4 linked regions of the Schizosaccharomyces pombe genome follow. Changing the gene in region 2 together with the main gene of any one other region gives a genetic interaction. Each region holds a gene or a part of one and is shown on either strand. Other genes may lie near its edges. The genes, in order: rif1, hsk1, mcl1 and swi1.

Region 1 (6,533 bases), on a different chromosome or scaffold from region 2:
CTGAGAAAGAGAGCAAGGCTATATTTTTCCAAATCGCATTAGCTGTTGCCCATCTGCATTCTTTTGACATAATCCACCGAGACATCAAAGATGAAAACGTAATTCTAGAAGGAAACGGATGTGCAAGACTCATTGATTTCGGTAGTTCGAGCCTTACGAAAAACGGGCCTTTTGATACATTTCGGGGTACAGTTGGTTTTGCTGCTCCGGAGCTACTAAGAGGTGAAAAATATCTCGGTAAAGAACAGGATATTTGGGCTTTGGGTATTTTATTATACACGATAGTTTATCGGGAAAACCCTTATTATAACGTAAGAGAATTATTATAATGGTATGCTAACTAATTATTAGATCGAAGAGATTTTGGACGCCAAACTTAGAATTCCTTTTGAACTATCGAAAGATAATGTCGATTTAATTTGTCGAATGCTTGATAGAAATGTGCATGATCGCATTACTATTGAAGAGACGTTACAACATCATTGGTTTGATGATATAAGATATTTGGACACATCACATATACGCATACCTCTATCCTCTTGAAACTAGAAAGTTCTTATCTATATACATATGTTATATATTAAATGCCAGTATGAACCCCATTAATAAGATTGATTTATGACTAAATTGACCCCAATGCCGGTCCGTAATTCCTGTACCCATGAGTTGAATAATCAAGCAATTCTAGATAAAATAGCTCTCTGTAATCTCATCAACAAATCACTAAGCTTCTGAACTTCCTCCGATTTTAAATCTTGTATATTCTTTTCGATTTCAAAAGTGGCTTCCGTCATTGATTGTATAATGTCTTGAGGACCAGATTTATCAAACTCTACAGATGAAACTTTGTTGGATTCATTGTTTGTATCAATGGACCCTGAAAGTAAGCTCGAAAATTGTCGTTTCTTGGAATTTTCAAATCCGTTAACTGCAGTTGTTTCATTCTCGGTTTTTTCCTCTGGTATTTCAGTTTGGCTCAAACTACTTTCATTAGTAAGTACACAAGCAGATTCGTCCAGATTCTGTCCCTGTTCTGAAATCCCATGTCGTTCTATGACTTCCACATTTTCCAAGGTTGCGGACACTTCGCTAATTGCAACTTCCTTATTCACGTTGGAAGATTGGCTCTTACGTCCAAGTTTTCGTTTCTTTCTAGTACTGCGAGGAGTAGATAGAACACCTTCACGAGAGGCAGTTTGCCCTTCTGGTTCTATCTGAGAATTTTCTTTTGAACATTCATCATTATTTGCTGTAGTGAAGGAGTTATTGACACTCGGCGTTCCATTATTATCAGCTTTCCTATTGCTTTGGCTTGAAATATTTTCCTTTAAAAGAGCGTTAGAGTTGTCTGCCACATCTATAGCTTTATCAGGTACAATTGCTTCATCTCTTAAAGAAGTATCGTCTACAATTACTTCCTTATTGACCTTGCCAGACGGTGTTGTCAAAGACTCTTCCATATCAGTAGCTTCATTTTTTGTTTCATCAATTTTTTTAACATCACCTTTTTGTCTTTTATTTTTCTTAGACGCTGGCATTTTTCCTGCTTTCCCTTTTGAGCTGTCGTCTAATTCTTGCACAGAAGCAATCTGTATGTAATTGTCGTTATTAGGTTTACCAGGACCAGAGAATTCGGTAGTCTTTTCTCCTTTATCTTGTGAAGAAGCATAAGGACCATTCTTAGAGACAGATCGCAACTCATCAACTCCTTTTAATATATCCGACATCTTTTCGCTCGATTGATGGTTGGCTTGCTTACCACCAGGACATAGTGACTGAAACGGTAAAAGAATAATATAAGTTTTGCTCAGATACGATATTGTTTTTTGTAGTTCAATAGGGTATTCTTCCGATTCAAATTTACCAAAAACTTGATTCCAAAACTTGATAGCAGCAAGGACCACCTCTTTTGAAATACTTTTAAGACCTGATGTCAACAGCGGAGAAAGAGATTCTAAAATATTAGAAGCTGTAGCAGTGGAATTTAGTAGCAGCTGCAAAATTAATATACAAAAGTTGGTACATGATTTTTGTAATGTGGTAGATTTCTCTAATTGTGGAAAAGCGTTCATAAGGAAGCAAGGTATCAAACCTTTAGACAACTTACAAATAGTATGAAAAATGAACTCTTTGGGTATTTTCTTTATAAATTCAGAAAGCTCATGAAGATAGCGACACTGTAGATCTACTTGATCGGAACTTGATAACCTTTGTAACAGTGTATTATACAATTCGACCATGTGGTTGTAACTATCCAGGTGTTGTCTGATATTTTCAGGTAATGTTACAGGTGGTAGCTCCTTTGTGCAACTTTCAAAAGTAGAAACTTTCATCAAAGATATGGCAAATGAATAAACTTTATTTGCTTCAAAACTTAATACATCATCGAGGATTGTAGTAAAAGGATCAACGACAAAAGGAAAAACGCTACCACATCCTTCAAATTTATAAATAGCGGTAAAGTATTGTTGAAGAAGATTGTTTACACTACCAGCATCACTAATACTGCAAAACTTCACATTCCAACTTAATAGTTTAAGTAATATGGATCGCTCCTCTTCTGAAAATCCTTCTTCTACTGAATTATTTCCATTCCGACTTTTAAGTTCTGAAAGCAGAGCCTCCGAGGTCAACCTAGATACTTCATGGGAAACGAGAACTCTCGCAAGCACTAAAGTTCCATCGTCACTCAAAGGAGATACACAATCCCAAAGTAACATAAGTTTTAAACCAAATCTTAAATGATATTCTTCAATGGATGACAGAATACTGCTGTAAGCGGCATGTACAGTCGAAAATAATGTGCCGTTTGTTAAAAGAGCGAGAGAGTGGAGCAAGTAAATTAAGGGGCTAATTGGGACATGATCATAACTATCGATTGCTTTTGTCTGATCTATTAAAACAAGCTGATTATCGGAAACCAGATATGATGCTTCGACGAATGTATTAATACCAAAAGCTTCAATGGCAGACTTAACCATTAATGCAAACCTCGAGACTCTTTCCACATACAGTTCATCTTTACGAATAGATTTCGAATATAAAAATTTGTGAAGCGATGAGCATATGCAGCATATAGCTCGGCCAGTCTCTACAGACCTTTTAATTTCCTTCTGTCCAGCACTGGCCAAACACTTTATATAAGTACTCCAAACAGACGAACTTTGTTCATAACTAAGACCTCGTATATGCTGTTTACGAGCAGGCGTAGTGGTTTTAACAGTATGATCTGGTTTGGCTAATAAAAGTAAAGTCTTGACCGGTTCAATTGTCCGACTACAATTAGCACGAACCCAAACAGGATTGAGCTTTGGAAGTTCTTTTGCTTCTACCGATTCACGGCAAACCAAGCGGTCATCTTTCCAAACTCCATTAGACAGCGTGTTAAAGAGAGCCAAAAGTATGTTAGAAGACTCAAAAATAGTAACCTCGTTTTTCAAGGCACACTTTTCAAGTATGTTGACAATAACTGAATCCCACAGTAAAGAGAGCATGGCATCAGAGATTCCGGGCCTCAAACATGCATATATTAAAGCAATCAAAGTAGTCATTGCTGCATTCTTTACTGTTGGCAAATTCCTTGAACCTAGAACCATGGAAATAGGCTGACACAAAAGAGTTAACCGCTTGGTAGCTTGTGTGAGGGTTTCAGAAAGAGAAAACTCATGAATTAAACGGATCCAAGATGTTTGGGCTGCACACTTAGTTAAAGGATTCATGCTGTTAAAACAAAGCTGAATAATTTTAAGCCATGTGTTAAAGTATTCCCATGAGGAAATTCTTGCACCTCCCAAAACTGATATGATGGCAGCCCAGGCATGAGCCACATAGACACCGTCGTCTTCTTCAATGACAAGCTTCTCAAATTGCTCTGTCATGATAAGAACAAATGCAGTTCCCTTAATATCACTTCTAAAATTAGCGAGGATAGTCCGTGCGACTAACTTGTCGTGATACAAATGTTTGCTCAGGTCCAAAGCAAGTAATAACGCTTTCTCACGGATAGGCCTTGAGGCATCAACTAAACAAGCTAGCAGATAAGGAGCCCAATCAACTACACGACGCGAAAATTCTAGTGGAAATTGGCTTAAAATTTTTGTTAAGACAGCTAATCGCTCCTGACCTATAACAAGGGAAGGGAATGAAATGTTAAAACACACGTCTAAAATACGATTACATAAAGGGTGAATGGAAAGAGGGCATTTTTGACAAGAAAGAAGATGCAAATGCTGAGCCGCGAGTGCTTTAGTTAACTTTGGTCCTTCTAAAAAATTCAGCGACTGCTCAATGAAGACTGTGGCAGTTTCTGGTTGAATGTGAGAAGAAATAGTTGGATGCCAAAGAAGTATGCTGAGAAGTTTGTTTGCTTGAGTATTCAATTGAAAATCGGGACTACCCTCTGAATTGTTAGAGCATCTATCCGATAATAAAAAATTGCAAAGTTGATTTAAAAGGGGGAATATTGGATCCTCGGGAAGACTTGGTGTATAGATTTTCAAAAAGGAAGACAGTTTTGAGTATGTTTCGATTCGAGCAGATTTTTCAACATGTTGAAGATTTTCTATTCCGGAACAAAACGAGGATTGTAGTTCTTGCAAGGAAGTCTCTTTTTCAGATTCATTTCCTTCAAAGGATTGAAAATTTGGTTGTTTGATACTAGATAGAGGTGTTGAAGTTTTTAAGATACCTCGTTTGGGTAAACCGAAAGATGGTCGATTTCCACCGGGGGAATTTTCTAGTTCACTACTAAAATTTACCTTCTTCTTACGAATCGAACTACTAGGTGAGCTGCTCAGTCCTACAGCTTGTGATGATGGGGTTGAAGGTTCTTGTAGAAGCATATTTGAAGCCTCCTTCACAGCAATTTCTTTTGTCATCGCAACATCAGCTGTTATGCTTTTAAAAATGTTTTAGCTTCATGGGACCGATCGCACCAAAAAATTGCACAAATAAGTTTATTTACAAAATGGTGGTAGTAGGCTAAATGTGAGTTGAGTTATAGATGTAAACACTGTTCAGCACGGTACCAAGCTATTGAGATCTTTAACAACACTGAAAAAAGCTAATTTATTCTTTCAATTATGAAATTTTTTTTACTTATTTCTGTACACCAATTTAGACTTAGCAGCAGCAAATTGAAGTAGTATAAAGAATAAAATTGAAAAGCAGATTGGTTGTATTGTTGATCTTTTATAAATAAATGTCCGGTAATTGCTTCAATCTTTAGTATGTTTGATATCCGCACATTTAAAATGCGTGGTTAAAATTCTTGTAGTAATAAGTGCAGTAACTAAATAACTCAGTACATTCTTAAGCCAATTCATTCCACCCTTTATTAACTTATCACCAAAATTTTATAAAACAGTTCTAAGCAAAAGAAAATTCTTGCCTAATTTTTCAAGTTTTGTCGTCTGGGGTAGAAGGTTACAGCAATTCCTTTGAAGTAAGTCAATTTTGTTAATGGGAGATACAGCAACCTGCTATTATTTGATTCTTCTCTTATAAATTTTTGGATGAACCATTACTAAATACATGAGTAGTAACTTCTAAAGATTTGGAATACTGAAAAGTTGTTATCCAAAATCTAGATTGAAAGTGCTTTTGACAGTAACTAAACTAGAAGAACCAAGTCCTTGGAGTTGATGATAATATTTCAATTATTTTGTTTTGAGGAAATGATGAATGCAGTGTTCTGCTGACCTTGCTTTCAAGAAAAAAAGTAGACGATTAAATATCAACAGACTTCAGTCAGCACTGTTACTTATTAAAAAAAGTTGATTTTTATATAAAAGTTAGCTGCGTTAAACAGTGCAATGTCAAATTGCTTAAAACATCCTTGGCTTGAGAATGGACTATTGAATTTGATCAAAAACGCAGATGTCCTTCCGATACGTGTATTTAAATGTCAGCCTTTACAAATATTTGAGGTATTATACTTTATCTTCTATCTTTCGAACCAATTCTGACTATATTTAAACTTCAGTATATACGATACGAACATCCAATTCGATGCAAGCTATCCGATACAGAGTTTTACATTGAAGCAGAGTTTTCGTCTCAGAGCATTTCGGACTTAAATAAGTATGTTTCAATTTATCAGCACAATATTGATTGTGATTTTTAGTTTTACTGAAAAAAGGATAACATCTTTAAGAGGAGGTATCGTGACATTGGGCAATTTTTTAATTCACTTAATTCCTAGTCAATCAGGCATTATTCCTTGGATACAAGTAGAGTCATTTAATTTTCAGGGTTGTGAGGGTGCTGTTTTTGGAAACCCTAAAGCTATTACAACTTCTGCATTGTTTAATGCATTGCTTCAATCACCTTATCTTGCTGCGCTTGCCAATGAATTTAACCGATCAATTAAAGAAGGTATTATTTGTAATTTTACACGATCTATAATTGACCCTTTTTCTAGGATCGTCTTACCAGGAAGCCTCCCTTAGTCAACAGGTATTTTGTAAATTTTAGCCAAGTTTACTAATGTCAAGGAAAAACCTAATGACAATACTAGTAATTCTAGAGATATC
Region 2 (4,276 bases):
AGCTTCGTGGACACGTCTCAGCTGGCCATGGTCGTATTGGTAAGCACAGGAAGCATCCCGGTGGTCGTGGTAAGGCCGGTGGTTTGCAACACCTCCGTAGTCACTTTGATAAGTATCACCCTGGTTACTTTGGTAAGGTTGGTATGCGTCGATTCCACCTCATGAAGAATCCTTTGTGGCGTCCTACTGTCAATTTGGATCGTCTTTGGACCTTGGTTCCCAACGAAACTCGTGAAAAGTATCTTGGTAAAAACACGGAGGTTGCCCCCGTTATTAATGTCTTACAATCTGGTTACGGTAAGGTTTTGGGTAAGGGTCGTCTGCCTGATACTCCCGTCATCATTCAAACACGTTATGTCTCTCGTCGTGCTGAAGAGAAGATCAAGCAAGCTGGTGGTGTCGTTGAGCTCATTGCCTAAGAACATCCTGTGATTGCTTAGTGGCTTAATAAAATTAATTTTGTTTGATTCGTTTATCCGTCTATACTTTGATGGAATATAATTGTTGTATGATCAATCTGTAGTGTTATTCTCTGGTCAAATAGTGTATAGAGATTTTATTTCAATTAAGTCAGTAAGTGAAAAAGCCTCACCTGCTGATATGTGTTCGTTATGCTATGGTAAAATTAATTATGGATTAATGTTTGTAACTGAAAATGCACCCCAAAAATTCCATAGGGTATTTTCGATGTATAGACATACAATAATGCTTTCACTTTAATACCCAATGATTACAGTAATGCTTATACTGTAAATGAAAATGTATGCACAAATATAAGTGATTGCTTGATGAGAAATTGCCAGCAAATCTTCTCAAGCTCCATCCTGCAAAGCATCATTTGGTAAAATTTCATCAATACTTCGCTTCCGCTTTGATAAAGAAGTAGGTTCATCTGTTTCTTCCTGCTCTTTAAAATCAAGGATATGGGATAAGTGCTTAGCAGTTAAGTCTTCGTCTTTCTCGAAAGAGGTTTCTCCAAAGCTATTATCAAAAGCTGTATCGTCATCTTTCTTTTCGTAAGCTAAATTATCGAGATACAAGAAATCGTGATCCAATGCTTCCTCAGCTGAAATCCTTTTGTTACAGTCAAGTTCAAGACATTTCTCTAAAAAATCCAGGCACAATCGCTCTTCTTGGCTTGGTTTATGACGAAGCTTTTCTTTGTATATACTGGCTGAACCACAACTGGCCCACAAAATAAGTTTCCTAAAGTTTACTCTTTTTTCTGTAAGCGTGCTTACATTTGTCTCAAACGTACAACCTGGCAGGTTAGCGAAAAAAATCAACACAAACACTTCCGTAAGGGACATTAGATCGTTCTTACCGTGTAAAGCAGCACATTGGCGCATTTCGCTTTTTCCAAATATACATGCTATCTCCATGAGTGCATCCACGTCGTCCTTTGAATTAAACATGGGGAAACGTTTAGTAAGGAAAGATAACAAAATAACCCCAGCAGACCAAATATCAACTTTGGGTGATTGAGATGAGCATTTAAACAATACTTCAGGTGCTCGAAATCCTCGAGTTCCGGCTCTATTGGCCCGTTTGCTTGGTCGAGTATCGTTTTTTATGTATCCAAGAGATGTTTCCTGCGCAATCGAAAAATCATGTGCTAATTCGGCCGCATTTGAATTAGTGCACCGGCAAGAATGTGATTGTTGTCTTCCATCATAACGCTCTGCTAATCCAAAGTCAACTAAGACACCATGCTTGGTACGAACATCGAAGAGAAAGTTACTAGGCTTAATGTCTCTATGAATGATTCCCAAAGTCTGAGTTTGCTGCATAGCTTGAAAAAGGCATCGAAAATAAATGCTCATATCGCGATAGGAAAAAGTGCTATAATATTGACGAAAGTCAGTATGCTCGTAGTAGGGTAAAACTACGAGTACCTGATCTTCATTTCTTAAAGCAGTTATTAGCGGGGCTATTACCGACGATCCCCTTAATAAATATAGGATTTCTAATTCATTGTATATTCTAGCAGGACTACTTGTCGCGTAAATTTTTTTTATAGCAACGTACTTCGGTTTCCGGCTGTCTTCATTAACAGGAATTTTTTCTTTTCCAAAAGAAGATTCCTTTAACACTTCACTTTGAATGTCCCAATCATTAATATACCTCCCATAATGTAGGTCTTCCGCTTTATATACACTGGAGAACGTACCTAAACGAATTAGCAAGATAGTTTCAAAACAGTACTAAAAACGGTAATTGAAGTTTACCTTCTCCAATTTTTTCAATTAGCCGATAGTTCTCTTGTAGCTCTACGAACGTCCTTGTGATATTTTCAATTTCTTCGCGGTCTCGTGCAGGGATATCTTGAATCATTTCTTGAGATTTGTTTTCGTTTACATTTTCATCGTCCACCTCAGTGATTTCACATTCAGAATCAATATCTGTTTGTTGTTCATGAGTTACTTTAGGTGATAGTGTGATATGGGCCTCTGCCATGTTAACGGTTTAACTCATATATTTTTAAACCAAATAATAACTTAAAAAAAATTAAAAGAGTCGTCAATTAAATGGTAAAATGCTGCCAAGGGAAGGAACCAAGAAAAAACAAATTTTCACGTATTTTAAACCTTCAAACCGAACACGCGAACGAATACTAAGATTCAAAAAAATCAAGTTTTTAAAATGTGTAACACAAACTCATTCCATGAATATAAGAATTTGCAGATTCCAGGTTCAACACCAGTTGTACATTGTTAAGCAAAATGCTCTTCTAATGAGGGACATTGTTACTTCCAAACAAGAAAAATACATTTTTAATCCAACTTTTGTTTAATAAAAAAAGTACTCTGCTATAATATTTGTATACTTATGGAAAAGATTAAGATTTCATGTCCTTTATCTTTTTTTAAATTTAGGACTTGCTTTAAAAAACATAAATCCTTTGGGCTCTTGTTATTGTTAATAACCACCATAAACAACTAGAATTGACTATTTATTGGACATTGAGAGTAAATATGATTAACCATGGTATTCAAACACGTTTTTTTTTTCTGTTATTTAAAAATAAATAAAAAAATTATCCTGAATTTGAAATTTATTCCTAGTTAAACTACGATAGGTTTTCTGTTTAGTTTATTGTGTATTACTTTAAAATTCTAAAAACAGCACAAATGCTTACCTCGTCAAAATTTGCATTCATAATAATTTTGAAAATCACCTTGAAAATGATACATGCGCCAAAATAAATTATAAGTTTTTATATCAGAAATACAGCTCAAGAAAGAATTTACAACTAACGTTATTCAAAAAATATATTAAATTCTTTTCAAAACATTTAATTAGAAGTACTAAAAAGAACAATAGCTTTTACGTGGCACGCTCAATAAAAGTTAATTAAAATATTATTTTTTAATGTAAACAAATGAGTTAATAAAAGCACGTTCTATATCCTTAAAGTGGTTAGCAACAATTAAGTCTAGCTCCTATTTTATATTTTGACTAACCGTAGCTCTTTTTTGTTAGTAAGAAAGTATAAATGGACCCCCACACAGGACATATAGGTGGGGTTATTGTTTACAAGGACTACTAGAATGTAGTACGCCAAATCCATCTTTTATTTCATTCGTAACATAGAAAGATTCGGCTTTCAGTGGCCTCAATGTCGTTGGATCTTCTTTCTAGATTAAAGAAATACATTCATGATGAAGAAAATTCCGACTTGGACTCGATTTATGCTGAATGTGAAAATGCTGGATTGACAGCCGTGGTTAACGGTATGGACATTTGGGTTTTTAAAAAAATTGAAAATGATCGATTCCACAATAACTAACAATGAAAAATTAGACGTCATTGATACCCTTTTATTAGGAACGAGTTCTTGTTTCGACGAGGATTGCTTGGAAAAACTCTTTGCTATATGTTCGTAAGTAGTTGTTATTTTGTGTTATTCAAATAGAAGGAAGCCATTTGGTTTACTATATATCAATTTTACCAAACTAACAATAATGGTTTAGACACTTTGCTGACCTCTCTTCCTCTGTAAGGAATAAAGTATATGATTTACTCACGAGTAATATCAGCTCTGAATCCGCTATTCTTGAAGATATGATTTCCGCAAATGCTACTGATTTTACTGTACCTCAAACGAATTTAGAAACTACAGGCATTGCATTTCAGCTCACGGTCAATTCCCTTTCTTCCTCAAATCAACTTTCAGTTATTCGGTCATCCACTAATACTGTTAAGGGAAGAAAAAAAAATCCAACTACTAACTCTAACTGGAATGGTATCTCACATGTAAATGCTTTGTTAGATG
Region 3 (4,989 bases), on a different chromosome or scaffold from region 2:
ACCCAGCTGTTTTCTGACTGGTCTTTTCTACTAGCACCCAACCCTAACCGTGGCGGCCTAGCTTGTAACGGTGGATCGTCATTTTTTTCATCGCTACTGACAGATGTATTTTCGTTTCCCAACCACGAATTGATTAAGTTTTTTGTGATGCTTATGGATGTTTGATATTTATTCAATAACACATCCGCACTCACTTTTTGTTCCATGCTAAAATTGTGTTTTCGTTTGCAGCTTGGCACTTTACAAAGTTGTACTGCACTTAGTGTCTGCAACTTTACGAACTGTAACGCACCCTAAGGCACTGAGCTTTGCAGTTTCTACATTAGATTTTATTTCATTTCAGAAAGGAAAAGAATACAAATTCCTTTGTGACTCTTTGTCATTTTAAAAAATGTTTCCACCTTTTCTTATGAATCAATTTTTTGTACCCCTGTGCAATTTCTAAATAGACTCGAAATATATGCCGAATATACTGACATATAAACATAGAGGTTATATGGTAAACAAAATGAAATGTGTTTATTAAATACAAAAATGAGAAAAAAATCAAAGTGCTAGATGCTTATATAAATGAATTTAGAAAGGAGCAAGATCGTGACAAAACTTCTGCATAGCTTTGCTTCAAACCCCTTTTGATTAGCTCAAGCTACTAATATGCAAAAAATAATGTTACATAAAAATTAAGACGTGAGGGTTTAGACGTTAGATAGTAGATTACCAATTTTTTCAGCAACATTTGTAAGGGAATGGTGGAGCGCAATCTTTTGAGCAGCAGCAATACTTGTTGTCCTTCTCAAAGTTTTTGTCAATTCATAGACACGTTCGATTCTTTCCTCGAGACAAGCCTTTTGAATAAGTTGCAACAAGGCTTTGTCAATGTTAGCTTCTAGTCTAGCAATGCTTATTTTTTCGTCCTCCGTAACATCGCCATCTCCTATGCTATCTTCCAATAAAGTCAAAAATAGTTTATTACGGAGTTGTAGTTCTTCTAAAACAGGAACAGATGTAGAAGCATCCGGATTGTTCGTATTACAAGGAATACGAAAGTCAAATTCTGTAAACATCGGACGAGGGAAATAGGGATATCGAGAGGCTCCTTTTAGCAATATACAGTGAAACTGATTATCGGCAACAGTTACAGGCCAATAAGACTCTTGCCGTGATTTGCGACGCTCCAATTCATTTGTATCTAAAACAGGGATCCACTTGGCTTGTCCTGGTATGCGCCAATGCATTAATACCAACAATACCCCAGTTGAATCGTAGATGTAAGGATCTCCAACATCCGAAAAGAAAACACTCTCTAACGTTCCTTGGGGTGGTAATGCAACCCCATCACCAGTTTGCAACATTTCATCACGAGAAATGTCTTCAATGGAATAAACAAGACGAGAATTTCCATCAGAGCTCAAACCATCGTTGGCGATGGTTATAATCGTATCCTGAAAAGATGAACAAGCTACAAATGGCAAGTGTTTACTCCTGTGAATGCTAATTGGAAAGCCTTGTCTTGAGAATACGCGAACATATCCAGCACTCGTACATACCAGTACAACGCTTGAGCTTAATGAAATTGTCACAGGACTTTCATTCTCCATGGGTAAAGCCATTGCCCATTCAGATTTACGCGACCAATCAACATGTGCTTTATAATAAATAACACCAGGTGAACTTTCCGTTGCAGGCGAAGCATACAAAGCACCTTCATGATCTAAGCATGCCATTTCAAATTTTTGGTCATCAACAAAGTGATATTTTCTATGAGTAGTTTCATCATGAAATTCAACCGTTATAGTGTTGTGTTCTGCATCTTGCTGTACAGTCCAGATAAACCCTACCAAGTTCAAACATAGATATCTTCTATTACCCTGCCATGGTGTACTTCCAGTATGAACGGGTTTATGTATTGAGGCTTGCAGTAAACGTCTTTTACTAGAACCATTCTCTATTGTTGTAGTTCTGTCGATCAACGCCTTCTGCTTTCTTTTCTTTGCAAGGTTTAAGTCGTTTTCATCAACCATATAACTATCACCATCTAGGTCCAAAGATGAATCCAATCCATCATGATTGATAAACTCATTTTCCTCGTTGGCAGAGTTCCCATCCAAATCATTGACGTTCTGACTTTGCTCATCGTCAGAACCAAAAAGATCATCAAGCTCTTTGGAAGTACGGTTTTTACTTTTTGACGAAGTCAAAGGCTTCGTAGGATCATTTTCTTCCTTCAATATTGATTTAGGAATGACATCCGGACATGAATACAAAATTCCCTGATTTGTAGTAAATGATAACACGTTTTCAAATGGCTGCCAGGCGAGTGCCACCACTGTACTATAGGGGAGCTCAACGACTACTTCATGACTTTGTGTATCCCAAATTAAAATGCCTCCTTTTTTAAATGAAGCAGCTATGTACATTCCATTACTGGACCAGGAGATATCTGTTACACCAGAATGATTCTCTTTTGGAAGAAGTTTGTACAATGGAAGCCAGTCATCAGGGGAAATAACTGATACAAAATGGTCGGTACTCGCAACTGCAAATGTCCCGTTTTTAGGATGCCAAGCCGCCTTTGAGCAAATTTCTGATTCTGCCTCTAAAGAGGCAATAGTGTTTGTTAAGAACTTGATGAGTTCACGAGTTTGGGTGTCATAAAAATACAAAATTCCATTGCAACTGGAAACTGCTAAAAAATTTCCGTTCGGGCTATAAGTTACATGTTTATTCGAAGCCTTAGCTGGACGAAGAGAGAAAATTTGTGAAGAATCAGTGGACGAAACCACTTTCACTGCTGTTTCACTATATTTGTTAGGCTGAAAACGACCAAGTAGAGCATTATACACTAAAAAAAACTTACTCACTAGCTATGGCAATCCAATTTCCATCTACTGAATATGCCACATCGCGAATAGGAAGAGTAGTACGCGCCAGCAATGTATGCTCGGTAGGAGAATCGATGGGATATACGCAGACAGTTGCATCTTCTGAACAAGTACAAAAATAATTTTCCTATATAAAAGTCATTAGCTCCAAACTTTTTTGAGGACCACTTACAGCAACTGCAATTCCTGTTATAGGATCTTGATGATTATCAATGGAGTCGGGTTCCTCATCAGAACCAACCTGAAATTTTCGGATTACTTGATTAGAACCGACCGTAAGAAGAAATTTCCCATCACGAGTATACGCTAGACGCGTCAGTCCATCTGTATGGGCATATCTAGGAACTAGCCTATTCCCTGCCATAATAGCTAGAGGAAGAGTTTGTATATGAGATTGGGACTAGTATGGCAATAGCGATACTTTCGTTAGCTAGTTACGCTATTTAATGTAAACAAACATTTAAATAAAAAATCTACCACGAAAGCACTATTGAGAAATTGCAAATGTTTGTCTACAATTTATTTTCATATGCAAGTACGATTGAAAATATGCAATCCATGCTTTTAATCATCTGCTAACAATTAGAAATTAATACTAAAGTAACTTATATGTGAGACTATAGGAATAATTTAACTTTAATCATTTCAGAGCTTTTTTTAATTACTCTGAAGTTGTATTTGATGTTCCATTAGAGCAGTTCTGTTAAAAAGTTTTGAAATGTCTGCTATAAATGTTCAAACAGCCGCACAGCAATATTCTAAATGGAGGAAAAATATGCAATTAGCTATTGTCTTTTAGTATTTTAATTAATGCTTACCATGACAAGCTATAAAACAGAATCTGCAGATAAGTCATGCTTGATTAAACCACAAAAAATCAACGACATGGAAATGGAATTGAGAAACCTAGTGGAGCCTCTCACAGGAAAATTAAAAAGAAGTTAAATAAATTAATCATACAATTAGATTTCGATCATTCATTTAATACTCGCAGTAATTATATGTATGTATTTTTTCAAAAAGTAATATGAAAATCGTTTTTGCACATCGTTAAAGTTTTATTCTGTATTAGAGTGATACACTATAAATGTTAACGCTGCTTTAACGACGCACAAAATACAGGCTATTGGCATACTCTAGGTTGTGAAATCTTTGCTTTTTTGTAGTTACGTCTGCCAAACAATTTACCATTCCAAGCAAGATTGGTAATCTGCTTGATCATGTCACAGTATGCTGTAGAACTGTGTGAGATTCTCGTAGAGGAATTTTTCGGTGATTGTTGCTCGGTAAGGATTCAATTGTATTTCTAAATCTGAAGTTGAGGTTGCAAAGTCTTTTGTATTAACCAATTTATTGTCAATTTAGGCAGTAGCTAGTGCACTTTTGAGGCATGGTCGTTTAACGATTCCCATGCTACAAAAACGGACTTCGTTGCCAGGACCAAAAATTCGACAAGCACTTGTCAGTTTAATGCAGCATCATATGGTTTTGTACGTTACGGTCATTGAAAATGTACGTGAAGTCACATATTATGAGACCCAATGGAAGGAAATTTATAACATTCTTCGCAAAGGTAAAGATGTATATTTGATATCTCAAAAATTAAACCAGGAGGCTGCCTCTGTGGTAAAATATCTTAGTACCCAAGGACGTGCACGTGTACTCGAAGTATTCAATGCTTTCGATAAAAAGGTTGATGGGAGTGATGAAGAAAGCCGTATGATGCAGAAAAATCTAACGGAATTGATTTACCAAAAGTTTTTGCTAGTAGTGCAACCGAGACATTTAATACCAGTAGGAGATCAGGAAATGCAACTCCGGATCAAGCACTTAGATCGCAGAAAGTCAGAAAACGTGTCTGAAATAAAAAAAAATAGAGAGGTTGATGATTCTGTCGCCTTGGAAATGTTAGAGCTTCGTGCAGCAGATATGTCAGAACTACAAGGACTTACCAGGAAGCCAAAGGAATCAATACCACATCCAACAAAAAGAAGGAAACGTGCTGTTGGCTCTGCTCCGTCTGTATCAACGGATTTGAATAATATATTAGACGATGATAATAGCATCCTTGTACCTGATCTATCCGCGCATGTTCGCATAAATTCAG
Region 4 (7,732 bases), 2.3 Mb from region 2:
AAATTCAGGAACATGGGACTCGGCTTTGAGTTGTTACGAAATTATTATTCAAAAGGATCCTGAAAATAAAAAGGCGAAAATCGGTTTGCTTAACAGCATGCTGCAATCGGGGCATTATGAATCTCTTGTTTTGAGTTTAGATTCTTTTATAATCAATGACAACCACGAGTATTCGAAGATGTTAAATTTGGGTATTGAAGCTTCATGGCGTTCGCTATCTATTGATTCGTTAAAAAAGTGTCTTTCAAAAAGCAACTTGGAATCTTTCGAAGCTAAATTGGGTAGCATATTTTACCAATACCTACGGAAGGATTCTTTTGCTGAATTGACGGAGCGGCTGCAACCCTTGTACGTTGATGCTGCTACAGCAATTGCAAACACAGGCGCCCATTCAGCCTATGATTGTTATGATATTTTATCTAAGCTGCACGCAATTAATGACTTTAGTAGGATTGCTGAAACTGACGGAATTGTTTCCGACAATCTTGATATTGTTCTTCGCCGTCGGCTTAGCCAAGTAGCTCCGTACGGTAAATTCAAGCACCAAATCCTGTCCACTCACTTAGTTGGCTATGAAAAATTTGAAAACACGAAGAAAACTGCTGAAATATATCTCGAGATTGCAAGAATATCTCGAAAAAATGGTCAATTTCAAAGAGCCTTCAATGCCATCCTCAAAGCAATGGATTTAGATAAACCGCTAGCAACAATAGAGCACGCACAATGGTGGTGGCATCAAGGGCAACATCGTAAAGCTATTTCTGAATTGAATTTTTCGCTTAATAACAACATGTTTGATTTGGTTGATGAGCATGAAGAAAGACCTAAAAATCGTAAAGAAACTTTAGGAAATCCACTTAAAGGAAAAGTGTTCTTGAAACTTACAAAATGGCTCGGAAAAGCTGGCCAACTGGGATTGAAGGATTTGGAGACGTATTATCATAAAGCGGTAGAGATTTACTCAGAATGTGAGAATACGCATTATTATCTTGGCCATCATCGAGTTTTAATGTATGAAGAAGAACAAAAGCTCCCAGTTAATGAACAGAGCGAACGATTTTTAAGTGGTGAGTTAGTAACTCGCATAATTAACGAATTTGGTCGATCTTTGTACTATGGTACAAATCATATATATGAAAGTATGCCAAAATTGCTCACACTGTGGCTTGATTTTGGGGCCGAAGAACTTCGCTTATCTAAAGATGACGGCGAAAAGTACTTTCGTGAACACATTATCTCTTCGAGAAAAAAATCTTTGGAACTTATGAATTCGAATGTTTGTCGCCTTTCTATGAAAATTCCTCAATACTTTTTTCTGGTTGCATTATCCCAAATGATATCCAGAGTATGCCATCCAAATAATAAAGTTTATAAAATTTTGGAACATATAATTGCAAACGTTGTAGCATCTTATCCTGGGGAGACGCTATGGCAATTAATGGCAACAATAAAATCGACTTCTCAAAAGCGCTCGCTTCGTGGAAAAAGCATTTTAAATGTTTTACATTCTAGGAAGCTTTCTATGTCTTCCAAAGTTGATATAAAAGCACTCAGTCAATCTGCAATTCTCATTACTGAAAAGTTAATCAATTTGTGCAATACAAGGATTAACAGTAAATCTGTAAAAATGAGCTTAAAGGATCATTTTCGGCTTTCTTTTGATGATCCGGTAGATTTAGTCATTCCTGCTAAATCATTTTTAGACATTACTTTACCAGCTAAAGATGCTAACAGAGCTAGTCATTATCCATTTCCAAAAACTCAGCCTACTCTGTTGAAATTTGAGGATGAGGTGGATATAATGAACTCTCTTCAAAAACCAAGAAAAGTGTACGTTAGAGGTACGGATGGCAACTTATACCCATTCTTGTGCAAACCCAAAGATGATCTTCGTAAGGATGCTAGATTGATGGAATTTAATAATCTTATTTGTAAAATATTGAGGAAAGATCAAGAAGCGAACAGAAGGAACTTGTGTATTAGAACTTATGTTGTTATTCCTTTAAATGAAGAATGCGGATTTATCGAATGGGTAAATCATACTCGTCCATTTAGAGAAATTTTGTTAAAAAGCTATAGACAGAAAAACATTCCCATATCATATCAAGAAATCAAAGTTGATTTAGACTTTGCACTGCGAAGTCCTAACCCTGGTGATATATTTGAAAAGAAAATCTTACCGAAATTTCCTCCAGTTTTTTATGAGTGGTTTGTTGAATCTTTCCCAGAACCAAATAATTGGGTTACTAGTAGACAAAACTATTGCCGAACTTTAGCAGTAATGTCAATAGTTGGCTACGTTTTGGGTTTGGGAGATCGCCATGGCGAAAACATATTGTTTGATGAATTTACAGGTGAAGCTATCCATGTCGATTTCAACTGTCTTTTTGATAAAGGTCTTACTTTTGAAAAACCTGAAAAGGTGCCGTTCAGATTAACTCATAATATGGTAGATGCAATGGGTCCGACAGGTTATGAAGGGGGTTTCAGGAAAGCTAGCGAAATAACGATGCGGCTTCTTCGCTCAAACCAAGATACATTGATGAGCGTACTAGAGTCTTTCCTACATGATCCTTTAGTCGAGTGGAATAGAAAGAAGTCGTCAAGCAAGTACCCGAATAATGAAGCAAATGAAGTTTTGGATATAATTCGCAAAAAATTTCAAGGCTTTATGCCAGGGGAGACGATACCTTTATCTATTGAAGGGCAAATTCAAGAATTGATCAAATCTGCTGTCAACCCAAAAAACCTGGTAGAAATGTACATTGGTTGGGCTGCTTATTTCTAGCATTTTACTAACAAAAATTTCAATGAACAAGCTACCCATTATTAAACTTATGATTTGAATCGAAGATATTTTATTTATTAATCCGATGAAGAATTCTCGCTGAGTTGTTCAATTTCTTGTAATTTTCCTTCCATTTCTAAATCGTCGATTCGCTTAAATAGGGCACTGGCTTTTTGTGCATTTTTCTCTCGTAAAGCAGCTTCTGATTGAAAAAAAGCTATATCTGTTTCTGAGTCATCATCCGAATCAACAATATATTTTGCAGATCGTAAATGGTTTTCCTTTTTCTTTCGAGTTGTATGGTCAATAATAGTTTCGTTAGTTTTCATCTTTTTACGTTTTCTGTCAGTAATCTTATTTAACGCTTCTCGACGATTGGCGAAAGTTATAGGATCATCTGCTTCAAATTCAATTTCTTCGTCAGATGTTTCACCCTCACTACTTGATGGTAAACGAACATTTCCTCTTTGCTTCCTCACTAATAAATCTTCGGGCTTGGTGCCTTCAAACGTCGGCGGATCATCAGTAAACCTTCTCAACAACATGGCATGCTCAACAAGTTCATCAATTATAACAGAATTTGGTAATTTCCATAGTGCTTGAACGTCTATATTGTTATCTGATTCTTCGAATCCACATAATTCTAATAATAGACGAAATTTTCCGTCTTTCAAAAGGGCCGTATTAAATGAATCTGTGTCTCCTTTCAAATTCTTCCCCATTCTTTCACCATCATTTCCACCTTCATTTATATATTTGTTCTCGTCAGCTAGCGTTATTAGCTTTCTTTCTGAAATGAGGCAATTAAGTTGAACTTTCAATTCATCTAATAAATCACTTTTGTTTTCATTTATAAGGCATGCAACAACGGCAGCCACCTTTTCCAAATGTGATAAGCCAGGCACCGTCTCGTATAACGGGCCTTTTCTCGAACCATGAATAGAGAAAAGTGGACTTTTTCCATATTCCAGATAATAAAATGTGTCGGTTAATTTTGGGAAAGGCAACTCAATAAAAAGTGCTGGTACATCTTTTAATGCATCTGAAAGCTTTCGCATATAATATACAAAAAATTGTTCAAAATCCTGTCTTGCTGAATTTGTAGTAGAAAAATAGACATGGTCATTAAACATTTTGTCCAGAACACGTAGGAAATCGAGACGATACAAATAAACATGGCATTTTTGCTTCACGAAAATGCGGTAAAAAAAGGAAATAGCCCTATGAATTTGTTTTGAATCCAGATCTTGGTAACATTGAAGGAACAGCACGAAACTATCAATACATCCATTATCACAGTACCTAGACTCATATCTGCCGAAATCAAACAGACGGTCCTCAACGGCTGCATTAGCATTAATCAAGCTGCTTTCTTCATCTTCATCCGATTCCAAGACATTGCTATCAACAGATTTCTGATTTCTCCTTCTCTTTTTCACATAGAGATATTGTTTAGCACTGCTAAATTTCTCAAGCTCCTTTAATAGCACTATAGTTAGCTCAGTTATTGCATCTAAATACCCAAAGGACTGAGTTTTAAAATGCTTTAAAGCGCTATAAACAAGTAAAAGAATTTCCTCTTGGTAAAAGATATTGCTTAGTAGATTATCGGCAATTCTTTGGTAAATTTCTGAGGAACAAAGTGTCATACTTCGAAGAGTGAAAAGTAATTGAGTCATCGAAAGCATGGATGCTTGGAAGGTGCTCCATTGTTTCATTTCAAAGGATTCTACCATTAACCTGTTGTGCATAATCAAAGCTCGTTGGTCAAAAACGGAGGCTGCTAAGCCAAAACTATAATCATTAGAGTAAATTTCTTCTGTTTTTTTTGGTTTAGACGAAAATCTCATGAATTCCAAAAAAAATGACTGAACGTATAATAATTGCATTTTATGAATTGGAAGCACACGAGGATCTTCTCTTTCCAAGTCTTTTAAGAGAGACTGAAATAATGGATTGAATCCAGCTTCCAAAAATTCGACAGCAAAGTTCCTTAATGCAGTACCTGCCTCGGTATTGATAAAGAACGATTTGTTTATGTCATCCTAATATTGTTAGAATAGAATAGTTGAATTGGAAAAAAAAATTTAAACAAACATCGTGTTTAACTAAGTACATACAAAATGTTTTCGACGTGTTCCTCGTTTTCGAAAACGCTTATGAGAGTCAAGCTCATCAAGGCCGTCGGTTTTTATATTTTGGCTAGCAATAGTAAATCTTCTGTCTTCAGTTTGAACAGAAAGCATGGTTCCAAATCTATTATGCCTCGTATGTGCATTTCGTTTCAAATAGCGATTTTGGGTCGACTCTTTGAGGAGTAAGCTATTAAGTTCGGTTTGAGAGTTAGTCAATGAGGCATCAGAGAAAAGGGCTGATGGCTTACAACCTCTGATCAAGTTGTAGACTATTTCTAATATGTAAACATCAAAATGCTCAAATTCATCGAGATTCGAGACCAGTGTGACAATCAAATCTAATATATGAGCTTTCGCAAACGAGATAATTGTTTCATTTTTTGTTTTTAATTCATCGATTTGAAGAATGTTTCGAAATAGTAACAGCACTATCCTGATTATTCCCTTGTCTCTAAGTGTTCTGGATTCTGCGGGAGTACTTAAGGGCTTTAGTAAAACAGCTAAAATGGCGGATAAAACGCTCCCCTTCTTGTAAGATAAAATTGAATTTTTATAATTTGATTGAGCTTGACGCAGATTATAGAGAACATCAACATTTTCTCTGAATGTTTCATGCTCAGTCTCCAAAGGCCATGTTAATGGTACAAGAAGCTCAACACAAGCTAAAGCGATACGCCAGTTTCTGTAATTAGTAATGTCTTTATCCCAGTCAGAGAGTATTGGACATATATCATTAGTTACCAACTGTAAGCTCGAGAGCAAAGATCGAATTTGCCAAACTTTGTACTTTTCATCGACTACTTGAAGATAGCGCTTCAGATCCTTTAGGCAAGCCAAAGCTTCATCACCAAGAACGTACACTTTTTCATCGTCTGAATAGTCAAATCCTCCAATGGCAGAAACAATGCCTTGAATCACCTCATCTAATTCCATTCAAGTTGATTTGTTAAATCAAAAGCTCTCAAGTTCCTTTTTTTTGTATTGTCGGTATGCGTCGATAAATAAACCAAATTTAAGAAATTAAATAAATTTTAATAATTAAGCGATATTAATTATGTTCATGAATAATCGTATTCTTTTAAGATAAGTAAATTTGATTGTAGATACGTGAAGAGGGGTGGTGACAGTAAACAATGAATAATAAATTTTTAAAACAATATTTAACTTTTCAAAATAACTTGGATTTTTAAAAAAATGTGTGTAAAGTAAAACACTTTATAATTTAAATCGCATTAAAATGGCATTCAGTATTATATTATAAAATTCGATAATATGGACTCAACAAAACGAATTTGCTACCTAACTTGTACAATGCATAATTAGAATTTAGTTTCAATAATTTTCACAATTTCAGATGTAGAAATTTAGAGTTTATTATTTTCAGAATGATTAAGCAGCAAATCTTTAATAACAATATAAAGAGATGCATTCTCTACTACAAAATTCTAAAAATTCTGCGTCAAATTCAACATTTCCTCTATTTTGTAAAATTGTAAAACAACGTAATAAATTGTTACAGGACTCATTCATAAAGACTATTTACACTTTATTTAATATAGAATATATATATGATGCGGCAGAAAAGCAATTTGAACGTTTGGGACTGTCACCTACCAGAAACTACACCAGCCAATATAGCACAAGCATAGGTTCTCTATAGAGGTTGCTTGTAAAATCAGCTTCTCTACTTGACTTGGTACATCCAATTGCTGTTGGGGTTTGAAATCCCGACCAGTAAGTTTATTGGACACACGATTAAGAACGGTTATAGCTCTTTGATTGAGTATCTCGGGTTTTTGACGTTCTTCAAGTGTAATTCCTTCTTCGTTTAAGCGTTTCCGGTGTAAACCATCAATTGTCTCACCGAGAAGTGTATTAGGTTCGTTAGATTGCTTTTCATCGATAGAAGGTGAATATGCAGGAGCAAGGCGCCAGTTAATAAGAGGATCGTAAACGAAAGCTTCTAAAACTGCCATCACAGACTCCTTATTAGTACGAAGAACTCGCATAACATGTTCGCATGTTATCCGGAACGTCCCCTCTATACCACTAACTTCCATTGCGTTAACAAGCATTCGCGTAAGGCGGAAAGGAATCTTCTCGGGAAACTTTTCTCGATGCATTGCTACTTCAAAACAATCTCCAAAATCGATATGGATGATATTACCTGTATACCTGTCCAGCATCAAATTGGAAGGATGACGATCGCCCAAACCTAAGATGTACCCTACCATTGACATCACCGCAAGAGTACGAGAATAGTTAGTTCGCCTATTAAGCCAAGCTTCTGAGCTACGACTCTTCAGCCATAAAACGCGGTATAAATCCTGCCCCGTAGTACTAAGTAGGGCATATTCAAAGACTTCAACTTTCTGAAGGAGAGTGAGACGATCGTAATCTGGAGCCATCTGAATGATCAACCTATGTTCTATGTTGAGTAAAATCTTTCTGCTTTCTCTGTAGTCACGAATTAAGACATGCAAAGTATCGCTATCCAAAACCCAGCCTAAAAGGCCTGAATCCGGTGATAAAGGAATCACTGGATACCTTTGGATTGAAAGTAAGCGCTTAAAAGTTTCCGGGTCAGCTAGTAACAGATTGTTACAAAGCCCAAATAGCTGCATAACACGTTCATCTTGTCTGATGTCCTCGTGACCCTTTAAAACATATTGATAATCTTTTCCATCACTGCCTTTAATACTCAGTCGTCTCGGACGTTGCTTAGATGTTATCACGTTGAATGTAGGGTAAAACTTTACAATTCTTATAACAGGTTTCCCGCTAACGTATGTTCCCGGAACAGCTAACT

Evidence for each region.
Region 1: of hsk1 (region 2) and rif1, a mutation in one rescues a mutant of the other (synthetic rescue), as found in Schizosaccharomyces pombe (3 studies listed by BioGRID).
Region 3: mutations in hsk1 (region 2) and mcl1 are lethal when combined (synthetic lethality), as found in Schizosaccharomyces pombe (3 studies listed by BioGRID, with this or other methods).
Region 4: mutations in hsk1 (region 2) and swi1 impair growth when combined (synthetic growth defect), as found in Schizosaccharomyces pombe (3 studies listed by BioGRID, with this or other methods).

What each region holds. Positions count from the first base shown.
Region 1 is NC_003424.3:2,764,714-2,771,246, reverse strand, and holds rif1 (telomere length regulator Rif1), read right to left. Parts: upstream 4,975-6,533; 5' UTR 4,878-4,974; coding exon 675-4,877; 3' UTR 544-674; downstream 1-543. Other genes in the region: serine/threonine protein kinase Ppk6, read left to right, coding at 1-311, 352-543; tpz1 (telomere-protecting protein), read left to right, coding at 5,814-5,927, 5,984-6,081, 6,125-6,375, 6,422-6,456, 6,495-6,533. UniProt on the Schizosaccharomyces pombe protein: Negatively regulates telomere length. Appears to play no role in transcriptional silencing of telomeric loci.
Region 2 is NC_003423.3:3,196,519-3,200,794, forward strand, and holds hsk1 (Dbf4(Dfp1)-dependent protein kinase Hsk1), read right to left. Parts: upstream 2,684-4,276; 5' UTR 2,458-2,683; coding exon 2,229-2,457; exon of another isoform or gene 2,171-2,228; coding exon 1,325-2,170; exon of another isoform or gene 1,262-1,324; coding exon 813-1,261; 3' UTR 542-812; downstream 1-541. Other genes in the region: rpl2801 (60S ribosomal protein uL15), read left to right, coding at 1-419; condensin complex non-SMC subunit Cnd1, read left to right, coding at 3,620-3,734, 3,805-3,883, 3,975-4,276. UniProt on the Schizosaccharomyces pombe protein: Required for G1/S transition. Plays a role in DNA replication checkpoint signaling through regulating rad3 and cds1. Involved in the maintenance of mitotic chromosome structures during S phase through regulating the function of rad21.
Region 3 is NC_003424.3:3,282,500-3,287,488, forward strand, and holds mcl1 (DNA polymerase alpha accessory factor Mcl1), read right to left. Parts: upstream 3,254-4,989; 5' UTR 3,247-3,253; coding exon 3,055-3,246; exon of another isoform or gene 3,010-3,054; coding exon 2,858-3,009; exon of another isoform or gene 2,800-2,857; coding exon 696-2,799; 3' UTR 505-695; downstream 1-504. Other genes in the region: SPOM_SPAPB1E7.01C (uncharacterized protein), read right to left, coding at 1-206; DNA-directed RNA polymerase III complex subunit Rpc82, read left to right, coding at 4,103-4,168, 4,248-4,989. UniProt on the Schizosaccharomyces pombe protein: Has a role in regulating DNA replication complexes. Acts as a regulator of post DNA replication initiation. Associates with chromatin during G1 and S phases of mitosis. Required for the transcriptional repression of the outer repeats of the centromeric region.
Region 4 is NC_003423.3:908,738-916,469, forward strand, and holds the start of swi1 (replication fork protection complex subunit Swi1), read right to left. Parts: upstream 6,043-7,732; 5' UTR 5,857-6,042; coding exon 4,909-5,856; intron 4,893-4,908; exon of another isoform or gene 4,834-4,892; coding exon 2,866-4,833; 3' UTR 2,789-2,865; coding exon of another isoform or gene 1-2,788. Other genes in the region: ATR checkpoint kinase Rad3, read left to right, coding at 1-2,788; TORC1 serine/threonine protein kinase Tor2, read right to left, coding at 6,534-7,732. UniProt on the Schizosaccharomyces pombe protein: Forms a fork protection complex (FPC) with swi3. FPC coordinates leading and lagging strand synthesis and moves with the replication fork. It is required for programmed fork-pausing which is necessary for mating-type switching.